Linked DNA regions of Saccharomyces cerevisiae S288C. Changing the gene in region 2 together with the main gene of any one other region gives a genetic interaction. Each region holds a gene or a part of one and is shown on either strand. Other genes may lie near its edges.

Region 1 (5,278 bases), on a different chromosome or scaffold from region 2:
CAAATAACAGAAAGGATTGGGGTAATGAATATCAGTAATGTCTATTGTTCCCGGCCATGCCGCTCATTCAAACTCTATATCGGAACCCAAGAAATCCAGATCACCATTCGGATCACTTATTGAGCTCGCCGCTGTATTACTAGAATAACTATCGGATGATTCAAGATCAATAGGAATTATTTCAGGGCAGTTTTCGGGGCCTGATTTTAGGACTTGTTCACCCGCTTCCATAGACGACATCTGTTGCGATAGATTATAAATTTTTGAAGGAAGTGTATGAACTGTCGCAATATCTGTATTTTCTTCTTGCCACTGCTTTGGTTTACTATTCAGTCTTTTTTCCAGGTGAGGGGTTGTGTTGATATTTTTTGCAAGCAGTGGCTGGCGTATTTGATCAGGTTTTGATACTGGCTTGATTGAGGAGGGTCCTTTTTCTTTTATATACTTTACTGGAATACCCTCTTTACAACATAAATGTCTGCATTGCGTTTTGTCTTTGCAGCTATGAAAACACTCGTAATTGCCATTAGATCTTACTTGGCGGCCATTACTAAAATGTGAAGAAGAGTGTGCCTCCGGGTGAATAACTGCTGCAGATTCAACCGCCTTTGATGATTTCTTCCTTTCATTCAAATAATCTAGTATACTATCATCTGAGGATAGCGATTCTTCTAATCCATCTTTATGGGAAACCCTAGACGTTTTCCCCACTTCTCCGTCACTACTGCTTTCATAGAAGAGGCATTTTTCTAAACTATTTAGATCTTTCCTTATATTTGGTGTCTTCGCAGAGAACTGTGATGCCAAATGATCAGTGGAATATACGATTGTTTTGCCGAGTCCGGCGATTTCTTGGCAATGAATTGAGAATTCTATTTTTTCTAGTTTTGGTGATATTTTTGCTGAAATTCTAAAGCCCCTTGGTGACTGTAGTTTGTTAACTTGCAATCTTCTAAAGTCGATTAACTCTCCTGAGCTTTTCTCGGTTTCGATATCTAATGAGAGGTGCTGACCATGCCAAATGCTAGACTTGAATGTTGCACTAATCTCAACTTTAAATGTCAACCACAACTCTTCATTTTCTATTTTGCAATTTTCTAGTTTTGTTCTAATATTCAGACAAGGCAACAAAGAAATGTCGTTTTTAATTTTTATGCCGTTTCCAATCTTGAGGTTAAGATAGTATTCAATCTGAGTATCTGACAAATGCCCCATTTCTTCTAGATTGGTAATTCCATGTCGTATTAGCCTTCTTACTGAAACTAGTCCAATTGTTTTCAATTGCCTAAGAACCATTGGCGTGTTTTCCCAGCAGTGACCATTCAGGCTTCGCAGTAAGAACAAAGTATTTTTCAGTGATGTTCCATCACTTTTTTCAATAAATGTGTCTACCATGCATTTTAGTAATCTAAAACAATGTCTAAAAACGAGGAATTTATCCTGAACAAGAGTTTGATGTAGTTTAGAAGCGCCTTCGTATGATGGAAATTCTAACCCACCTAACTCATATTGAATCAAAAGAGAAACCTTTTGACTAACCCTGTCAATTATTTGGCTCTGTTTCTTCTCGGTTAAAAATGGATATTTCAAAAGTGGCGATAAATTGATTTCTTTGAACAATTTTTTTTCATTGTGCCTCACCCTCATAACTGAAAACTCTTCAGAAGTGGCCAGTAAATTTAGTATCCCTTGTAATGATAGAAATTTTTTTGCGTTAATGAATTGTTTCATCGACTCAAAGGATATATAATGTCGCGTCATTGCATTTCCGTACGCTGTAGATTTGTACTCCCCATTGCTGATATCGATTATTTTCACTTTTACTAAGGTGTCAAGCAAATACTGACAGAATTGATTTATCTGAGAGTCTTCAACGGAATGAAAACTAACGTATCTGTTCACCTCTTGATATGCAGCTGGATTCTTCCCAAATCTAACGTAAAAGAATGTGTTTCGTAGCCAATTTACTGCAGTTTCAATTGAATATACAGTTTCCAAAGAGGTTTCTGCTGCTAAATGCTCGATCAAATTCAAATGTAATGAACTTTCCAAAACGTCAGTTCCATGAATTAAGTTTTCATATGTTTGCTTCATTTTAGAGTCTGTCATGATTACTGCGCACCCGTGAGTTTCAAATTGAGGTCTTCCTGCCCGCCCAATCATTTGCAGTACATCTAGGTCTGAATACTCTTGGATTTCAGAAGAGTTCCAACTTTTGGTGCCTTTGATAATGACCAAATATGCGGGAAGGTTCACACCAACAGCTAACGTTGAAGTTGAACACAATATATTAATTGAACCTGCAAGAAATTCTTTCTCAACGGCAGTACGGTCTTCTAAAGAAATTCCAGCATGATGGAAAGCGATACCTTGTTGCATACATTCATTTAATATTTTATCGGAGGGATTATGATTACATCTTTTCTTACTTTTTGAAAAAATATGATTATTTAATAAAAATTTTGCTGTTGATATAGTTGAAGCCCTAGTCGGACAAAATATTAGTACGGGACGATTATCGGCATGCTTTTCAATTATTTCAATCAATTTGGAATTATATATAGCATCTTTTTGGAAGTCATTTTTGCAATTGAAGGAGTACCCATAAACAAACTTCGTTAACTGAACTTGCCTGTACGATTCGTCAAAAGAAAGAATATTTGCAGGAAGCTCGTTGTTAGTTTTGAGCCACAATGCTAGGTCTTCTATATTTGGAACTGTTGCACTTAAAGCAACAAACCGAATGTTTTGACACATTGTATTCATCCTTGTCAGAATTACTTCCAAAGATGCTCCTCTTTTCTCCTTTATGGTATGAATCTCATCAACTAGGACAAGTTTGACCAATTCGAATAATCGGCTGTAATCGGACCATCTTCTTGTTAACAAATCCCATTTTTCTGGTGTCGTAATTATTATGTTACATTTTTTAGCCTTTTCAGTTTCCAGAAAAGAGGTATCACTAGTAAGCATACCAACAGAAAGATTCACAAAGGAAGGAAACCAGTTCTTGTACATCTCGTAACATAGAGATTTGGTTGGCGCGATGTATATAATTTTGGTGTTATTGGTATCACTATTTGTTTCCTTTATAAGACGTAATATTGCCAATTCAAATAATACAGTCTTGCCTGATCCGGTTGGTGAAGAAATTATGCAGTTCTCGTTACTCTCATAAATACTAGGAAAAGCCTCTGATTGCATTTTATTAAATTCTGTAAATTTAAAAACCCCTCTGAATGAATCTGGTAATATGGTCGTGCTCAAACATTTCTTCGCTGATTTCCTTATCGTGACCTTCTTAGGTTTCTTCGCCTCTTCATCAGGTGTCTGCTCTAAATCGTGATCAAATAATTTACTAGTTACTTGTGTATCATCTGCTGTTATTGAAAAATTATCGTCTTTGTCGAAGAATTGCAGACCACGGCCCTCAAATATTTCCTCTGTTTCATTTTCATCATCACAATCATCCAGTAAACTGTTATAAGACAAACCTACTTTAAAACTTGGTTGGCGGCTATTTTTCTTATTTCTTTTAAATGTAGCAGACTGGTCGTTAAAGTCAATATCTATAAGTCCTCTGAAATTCTAGTCCAGAAAAACCACTTTTGGTTGCATTTCCGCTAGATAATAAAAGAAAGAGGTAACAATGTTAGTCAAAATACTGTTGTTGTCCGATATGGTGTAAACTGATAAGGGTGTTGCTAAGCTTCGTTACTACTATTTGGAGAGGGTCTACTTCTTTTTCCTGTACCGAGGCGATCAAACTTTGTTTTCATCCTTACGACGCCTCTTAAGTTGTCAAATCCACCTTGAGGTATCAATCATTTTCAATGAAAGGATTTCTTGATAGATGATACTAATAGTCCCGTTTTGTTTATAATCCGGGGCAAAGTCTAAATACCCGCCGAGCCTGCATCCATTCGTGGTACATGATATGTTAAAACTACAACAAGGCATAAAAAAGGGAAGTATATATGATTAATTATATATACGTAAAGGAAAAGATACGTAGTTAAAGATTGTTTTTGTTGGTATCAATGGAATCAAAGATGAGTGAAGAAGAAGCGCATAAAACAGTGGAGGTGGATGACGTCGGGGTTCAATTGGATGAGGGCGATGAAGAAGACCTTTTGGAGTATGATGATGAACTCGTGGAGGAACAACCATCGGACGCCCGTATACGCAACGTGGCAGAGACTTTAATGAAAAGCGAATTGCCCAAAGTCACCGTGGAATATAAAGATACTACATTTCTGTTGTTCACGTCGGATGATAAGAACGAAAGTAACAACCCCATAATATGTGAAAACGCTGCTCTTTATCAGCGACCCATGGGGGAATTCATGGAATCCATTCGTAAATTTATGGGAAATCGTTTTGGCAGGTTGGCTTTTGCTACGAAGGAGTTGGTTTTACAACTGAAAAGCCTCGATTTGACCTTGTTCGAAGATAATGTCTACAACAACCATATTTCATTCAGCGATGTTTATACTATATTTAAAATCCTGAAGGAAAGATCGGAGTCTAATTTTGAAACTGATATACCGACGCACTTGGCTATTGAATTAAGTACAAGGCCAAGATTTGTCTCTCGGTACAACGCCTTGGTTGAATTAACTGAAAGCTCAGCTACGTTGAAAAACATAAAGCCATTTTCTAACGATGAAACGCATCCCTTAATTGTGGATGACAATGACCAATATACACACCAGAATACTTCAGAAGTCATTGTAATGGACATAGATGATGACGTAGGTGAGGATTCTGAAGACTAAAGTAGCCATGTTTAATCAGCACTGATCGTGGGAAATCCTGATGTCCAACGGTGAGTTTCTGATTTCCCAGTCACGGATTCCTTTTGAGAATCTTCTCCCGCGAATAAATTATTGGCTCTGTGTAATATTTAAGGTCGCCTTCTTTTTCGTTTGTATAGTCAGCAGTTAAGTATTCATTAATTTTGGATGATGCAAAGGTCCATATTCGATTTCTGATAGCCCTTCCCCCTTTTTTGTAGCGAATTGTATTATTGTTTTGTATTGTTTTTTCGTCATTTTCTTCAATTTTTTTCAAGTTTTACTTTCGGAAGAATTGCTGAAAGTATTTTCTGTTAGGATATGTAAAATACAAGCATAAAATATGTTTCAGGAGAAGAAAATCACTCAATAGTGCCACACCATTGTTAACGAGCTCGAGTAATTGAATCAATTTAGAGAAATAGATCATATTACAAAAATACTATGATTATTGAACGTTGGGAAGTAAAGTTATCTAAATG
Region 2 (7,026 bases):
TTCTTTAGTACGGAACCAAAAACATTAGATGGTTCCTCAGAGTAATTGTCAATTCTAGAGGCCATAGAACATTTGTTAGCCAAGTATCTAGAAATACGACCCTTGTTCTTGGCAGAGGCCTTAGAAATAAAACCACTGTGGTAAATCAAACCGTATTTTGGAGTGTTACCTTTAGTTTTTAAAGCTCTGAACAAAGCCTTTTCAGCACCAAGAATTTGAACCGTTGAAGCTGCTTGCTTAGATAAATTAGTTAGGGAACCTGCGTGAGAAATTAATCTAGCACCAATCACTTCACCAATCAATTCTGATAAGTTTGGTGCAACAGTGTGCATTTTTTCGCATAAGTAATCGTATAATTGTCTTCTGTAATCAGCTAAGGAAGCGACTCTCTGAGCGAAAACACAAACATTTTCCATATCGGTTTCTGATATATCTTGTCCCATGGAGATACGGGCATTGTCAATGACTCTTTGTGCAATTCCCGAATCCTCATTCAAAAGAGCAGCCAAATCATGTAAGGAGTCATCGTTTAATGAAGCTTTGTCCTTGATAAAAAGAACCAACTTGGCAAAAGTGTAGTTGTCTGGTACCAATTTAGCCAGTTCGGGGAAATGCCAGCCATACCACTCTTTAACTCTCATAGCAAAAGTGTTGATATCTTTATCTAATTGATCTAATAAAGCAATAGCTTGAATGATGTGATTGTCGTTCTTTTGAACAGAGAACTTCACTTTAGCTCTGGAGTAAGCGTGACCTAAACCTAATTGGGCTCTTTCTAAGTCACCAGATTGTAGACCTTTGAATAATTTTTCGCCATGTAATCTGACACCACGAATCAAATCCTGAGCAAGTTCATTTGAAATACAATCAACATATGGAAATTCTTCCTTAATAGAAGGACCTAAGTTTTTATCGGAAATAGCCAAAGTAATGTTCTTCTTTTTCGAGGAAGCCTTTGGTAAGTTTAAATCCAAGATAGCTTTCAAACTCTCAGAGACTAAACCTTCTGATATGTCGTTAGCATTTTCAAGGGCTTCAGCAGCACCTTTGAATGGCGCGAAAGATACAAGTTCGATTAACTTTGTAAAAGCACCAAAATCATTGATTTGCTCTTGAACTTCTTTTAATCTTGAACCAATGTCATCTTGTTGCAACTTAACCTTGAAAACTGCGTAACCAGTAGGTTCTTCAAACAGTAGGTATTCAATAGGAGCCATCTTTCACTAAATACTGTTCTGCACGCTTCTTCTCCTAGAAATATACCTTCCAAAACACTTTTAATAACTACTTAAAAAACTGTAGACACTACGCAATTGCACAAAATTTTTCATTTCCCATCTCATCACTCAAAAAAATTTCACTTTGAAAAAAAAAAAAAAAGAAAATTTTCACATCGCATTCTACGAGCGTATATATGCCGGGTGATATAAAAAAGTTACACAACTGTAATTCACCACATTGTCATCATATGCTAAATTATACCGTAACAGCACATATTAATGTATTATATTGTTTTTTTCTGAGGCTCCTCTTACACTAGTATACAGTATTATCTTCTATAGATTTTTTATTTGTACTTGCAATGTACTCTGCTTTAATATTTTTCATATCCAGATTATGCCATGTCATCATGCTCATCTCCACCTTCTCTTTCTTCTTCATCTTCACCTTGATCATCAATGGTTATAACAGTATCTGGGTTATCGTTACTGGTGTATTTTCTGGCGATTCTTGAACTTTTTCCTATTTTTTGGGCTTCTTCTTTTGCTCTTGCTTGAACATTCTCTAGTTCACTTTTAAAGCTCTTACGTACAGATCTATTGGTAAAAACGTCCCATAGTTTCAAAACTTTATTGACACCACCAATGACCATGGTACCCGCTACCTCGATGTCTGGAGCGAATGACGATGTCAATACATTTCCGACATCGAAATCACGAGACAGAACCATGCTTGGGCCCTTAGTGTTCGTAGCATCATCCAAGGGGAATTTCCATAATTTGACAGTCTTTTCACCCATGGCCCCTGTACTCATCATACCAGGGATGAATTTGTTTGAACATAATGTGGAGATACCAGCATCGTGTGCCTTCAATGTCCAAACTGGTTTACGGTTTTCATTGTTTCTAATATCGAAAGAATACACATTACCAGAATCAGTACCACATAATATTATATTTTCACTGGCAAATGTAACAGTTTCTATTTCCTCACCTGCCATGGCAGACCAGTATTTACTCATTTGACTTTCGTCAGAAATTCTAACATCTGTTAAAGCTACTCGAGAATCATAACCACCGGTCAAAAGAATGGAACCATTCAACATGTGCCATTCAGATGATGAAACATTTTTGTTTGAATGAATGGAAGCTAAGGAGCGGGCTGCGTTACCTGAGTTCAAATCCCATAGTTTTACGGTATGATCTGCAGAGGTGGATGCTAAAACGGAACGGAAATATTTGTTGTGTGCCATGGATAAAACAGCATCGGTATGATGAGTAGTAATGTGTCCAGTCTTAGACTTCTTCTTCTTCTTTTTGCTTTTCAAAGACACCATTGAATTATCAAGAGGTTCACCCAGAATCATATCGGGAAAGGCCTTGTCAACACAGTCCAAGTTCCAAATTTCAATTTGTGGATCAAACGTACCAATGGCAGCATAATTGGCTGCTTCTTCGGAATTGGATCCAACCTTGTAGTCAAGCCACTCAACACATAGTGGAAAAGCAGGCAACATTAAATCATGGTGAACGTAAAGTGCAGGGTCACGAACCAATCCACGAGCAACATCTGGGTCAGCTTCATCACCTTCTTCAACGGGAATATCGCTACTGTGGAACCCAGCACCGTCATCGTAAACGTAGATATCCAAATACGAAACGTCATCTTCTGTTCTCGCAGCAAGAACTAAATTATCGGATGGGTAAACTTGTAACTCCTGCTTCTCCTCTTGACTATCCTCTTGATTAGGCAATGAAATATATGGATCTTCACCTTTTTCACCCTCATGGAATTTAACATCGCTATCATTACTTAAACCCGGGAACATGGAAACGTCTTTACCACCCTCATTATCTGCAATTTCCTCATCGTCATATTCTTCCAGGTTATATTCTTTCAAATCATCATCTATATCCAACTGATCCTTCAACTTATTAGAACTACCTGTTGCGGCGTCATCTTCAACACCTGATTCGCCTTCTGCTTCTTCCAAAGTAGCTTTAGCATCATCCAAATTCAACTGTGCTAATTGGTTAATTCTTTCCACTTCCTCATCATCCAGAACATACTTTTCAGGAAATTCCGAGGAAAACCCTCTTGGAACCCAATTAGTAGCAGAAATCATTAGTTATTTTGTTTTTTTTATTCGTCTTCTAAGTTTCCAAATAAGGAAGGCGTAATAGACTCAACTGAGGGTACACTTGCTATCGTTTACAAATTAAAACTCTTTGCTTCTTTCAAACTCATCTCAGCTCATCGAGACAAATTTTTCACTTCTTTTTTTCGAGGGCGAGAAAATTTATTACCCGACTGGATATAATATATATAGAATAATACATATGATCAACTCAAGGTAGGGCCTATGGAAAAGTTTTACAACGGACAAGGCAATTAAATTGAATTGCACGATTCTCTAATTTTTTATTCTTGCAGATTTGTTTCATGATAAATTCGCCAGTTAGAGTTCTTATTATGGGTGGGTAAGAATTCAGTTAACGTTTAAAATTCTCAATATTAATCGCAAAGTGGAAAGCAAAGCAAAGTCTCACTAGAAATTGCAGGCGGACTATGTATAATTACGTAATAGTAGTTCTTGCAACAGAGGATCCTTTCGACTCTTTTGAAAGGATACTGTCATAAAACAATAGGATAAAATAATTTCAGCCGTTGCTCATGATAAAAGTAATTCACTATAATTGAAGATGATATGTGTTGCACGCTTTTTAGAGAATGATCTGTACAATAGCTCTGGTTGTCATAGAGCTTCGGTAGTAAACGTATTTATAGAATGTCAGAAGAGGATAAAGCGAAAAAATTAGAGAATTTATTGAAGTTATTACAGTTGAATAATGACGATACTTCAAAATTCACTCAAGAACAGAAAAAAGCTATGAAAGACCACAAATTCTGGAGAACGCAACCGGTCAAAGATTTCGATGAAAAGGTGGTGGAAGAAGGCCCCATTGATAAGCCAAAGACACCGGAAGATATATCTGACAAGCCACTACCTTTATTGTCTAGCTTCGAATGGTGTAGTATTGATGTGGACAACAAAAAACAGCTTGAAGATGTTTTCGTTCTACTAAATGAAAACTACGTGGAAGACCGCGATGCAGGCTTCAGATTTAACTATACCAAAGAATTCTTCAATTGGGCTTTAAAGAGTCCAGGTTGGAAGAAGGATTGGCATATTGGTGTTCGCGTTAAAGAAACACAGAAATTAGTTGCCTTTATCTCAGCCATACCAGTAACACTTGGTGTTAGAGGTAAACAAGTGCCTAGTGTAGAAATCAATTTCTTGTGCGTTCACAAACAGCTAAGATCGAAGAGATTAACACCTGTTCTAATTAAAGAAATTACGAGACGAGTGAACAAATGTGACATCTGGCATGCATTGTACACGGCAGGTATTGTTTTGCCAGCACCTGTGAGTACGTGTCGTTATACTCATCGTCCCTTGAATTGGAAGAAACTTTATGAAGTAGATTTCACAGGGTTACCAGATGGGCACACAGAGGAGGATATGATTGCTGAGAATGCGTTACCGGCCAAAACAAAGACAGCGGGATTGAGAAAATTAAAGAAGGAAGATATTGACCAAGTTTTTGAGTTGTTCAAAAGATATCAATCCAGGTTCGAACTAATTCAAATTTTCACAAAAGAAGAATTCGAACATAATTTCATTGGTGAAGAATCGTTACCATTGGATAAACAAGTAATTTTCTCATATGTAGTCGAACAGCCCGATGGAAAAATTACAGACTTCTTCTCATTTTACTCATTGCCATTCACAATCCTAAATAACACAAAATATAAGGACCTAGGCATCGGGTACTTGTATTATTATGCCACCGATGCAGATTTCCAATTCAAAGACAGGTTTGATCCAAAAGCTACTAAGGCTTTGAAAACAAGATTGTGTGAATTGATTTATGACGCTTGTATTTTGGCCAAAAACGCTAATATGGATGTTTTTAACGCGTTGACTTCGCAAGATAATACATTGTTCTTGGATGATTTGAAGTTCGGGCCCGGTGACGGGTTCTTGAACTTCTATTTATTTAATTATAGAGCAAAGCCGATTACCGGTGGCTTGAATCCCGACAATAGTAACGACATTAAAAGGCGTAGCAATGTCGGTGTTGTTATGTTGTAGTGGCTGAAAGGACGAGGCGTATATAGTTTTCGTGTACATAGCCGACAGAATTTGACCACATTTAGTTTTTCCGCATAGTCAATTGACGAAGTGAAAAAATAATTAATCCAATGGCTGGCTTTAGAGTGTCAGCCTCCAAAATAAATCCAAAAATAGACAAAGAGAATCACTATAATTACCGCCTTGGAGTCCAAGTTGGCTTGAGAACTCGCATTTATTTTTAGCGACTGAGGTAGCTGAAAAACGCCTACTTTCTCAGAAGGCGGTAGTGAGCATATATAAGTATGTAAGAAAGATCAACTCTTCTGGACTAGATACTCACCGATCTAGTGAAAATATAAACAAACCCAACATATATATAAAATGAAGGCCTGTTCCATATTATTTACCACCTTAATTACTCTAGCCGCTGCTCAAAAAGACTCTGGTTCCTTAGATGGCCAGAACTCTGAAGATAGCTCACAAAAGGAAAGCTCAAACTCTCAAGAGATCACACCTACCACGACAAAGGAAGCCCAAGAAAGCGCATCAACTGTAGTTTCTACCGGAAAAAGCTTAGTACAAACTAGCAACGTCGTCAGCAACACCTATGCTGTGGCTCCAAGTACCACCGTAGTGACGACGGATGCACAAGGCAAAACCACGACACAGTACCTATGGTGGGTGGCCGAAAGCAACTCTGCCGTAAGCACAACTTCAACTGCCTCTGTGCAGCCCACCGGAGAGACGTCAAGCGGAATCACCAACTCCGCATCCTCCTCAACGACATCAACATCAACGGACGGGCCAGTTACTATAGTAACTACCACGAATTCGTTAGGTGAGACTTACACATCTACTGTTTGGTGGCTACCGTCCTCAGCCACAACTGACAACACGGCTTCATCAAGTAAATCATCTTCGGGATCCTCATCAAAACCGGAATCAAGCACCAAGGTAGTAAGCACTATCAAATCAACTTATACCACTACGTCAGGTTCTACAGTAGAGACACTGACCACTACATACAAGTCTACAGTCAACGGTAAGGTAGCGTCCGTAATGTCCAATTCTACCAATGGCGCCTTTGCCGGCACTCACATAGCTTATGGTGCGGGTGCATTCGCCGTTGGTGCCCTTTTGTTATAGAATGTATAATCAGTTCTGTATACCACCACATAGTTCTGCATTTTAATAAAACTCTTTCTTTTTATACACTGTAGGTAACCAATAATATAACTATTGTTATCATCGTGCTTGCGTATTTTTTTTCTTTCGGGTGAAAAACTCCGCAGTATTTCTCGCTCTCCCTGGATAATAAGCTAGAAAAAAAAAATATATATGACAGATGGATGAGTAATCATATTCAATAAGTATTGTCTGGCTTCTGAGACGGCGGTAAGATATCCTTAAGAGTTGCAATGGTCCTTTTACACAAAAGCACACATATATTTCCTACCGATTTTGCCTCTGTTTCACGCGCCTTTTTTAATAGATACCCCAATCCATACTCCCCCCATGTACTATCCATAGACACAATATCAAGGAACGTTGATCAAGAAGGAAATTTGCGCACAACGAGGCTGTTGAAAAAGTCCGGAAAGCTGCCCACATGGGTCAAACCCTTTTTAAGAGGTATAACAGAAACATGGATAATCGAAGTTTCCGTA

What was found.
Region 1: mutations in PWP1 (region 2) and RMR1 together harm fitness more than expected from each alone (negative genetic interaction), as found in Saccharomyces cerevisiae (one large-scale study listed by BioGRID).

Annotation. Positions count from the first base shown.
Region 1 is NC_001139.9:27,858-33,135, forward strand, and holds RMR1 (Rmr1p), read left to right. Parts: upstream 1-4,052; coding exon 4,053-4,778; downstream 4,779-5,278. Other genes in the region: HFM1 (DNA helicase), read right to left, coding at 64-3,569, 3,722-3,779; ZIP2 (Zip2p), read left to right, coding at 5,241-5,278. UniProt on the Saccharomyces cerevisiae protein: Required for normal levels of gene conversion events during meiosis.
Region 2 is NC_001144.5:540,288-547,313, reverse strand, and holds PWP1 (rRNA-processing protein PWP1), read right to left. Parts: upstream 3,347-7,026; coding exon 1,616-3,346; downstream 1-1,615. Other genes in the region: snoRNP complex protein NOP56, read right to left, coding at 1-1,217; glycylpeptide N-tetradecanoyltransferase NMT1, read left to right, coding at 4,010-5,377; NCW2 (Ncw2p), read left to right, coding at 5,741-6,505; UPS1 (Ups1p), read left to right, coding at 6,778-7,026.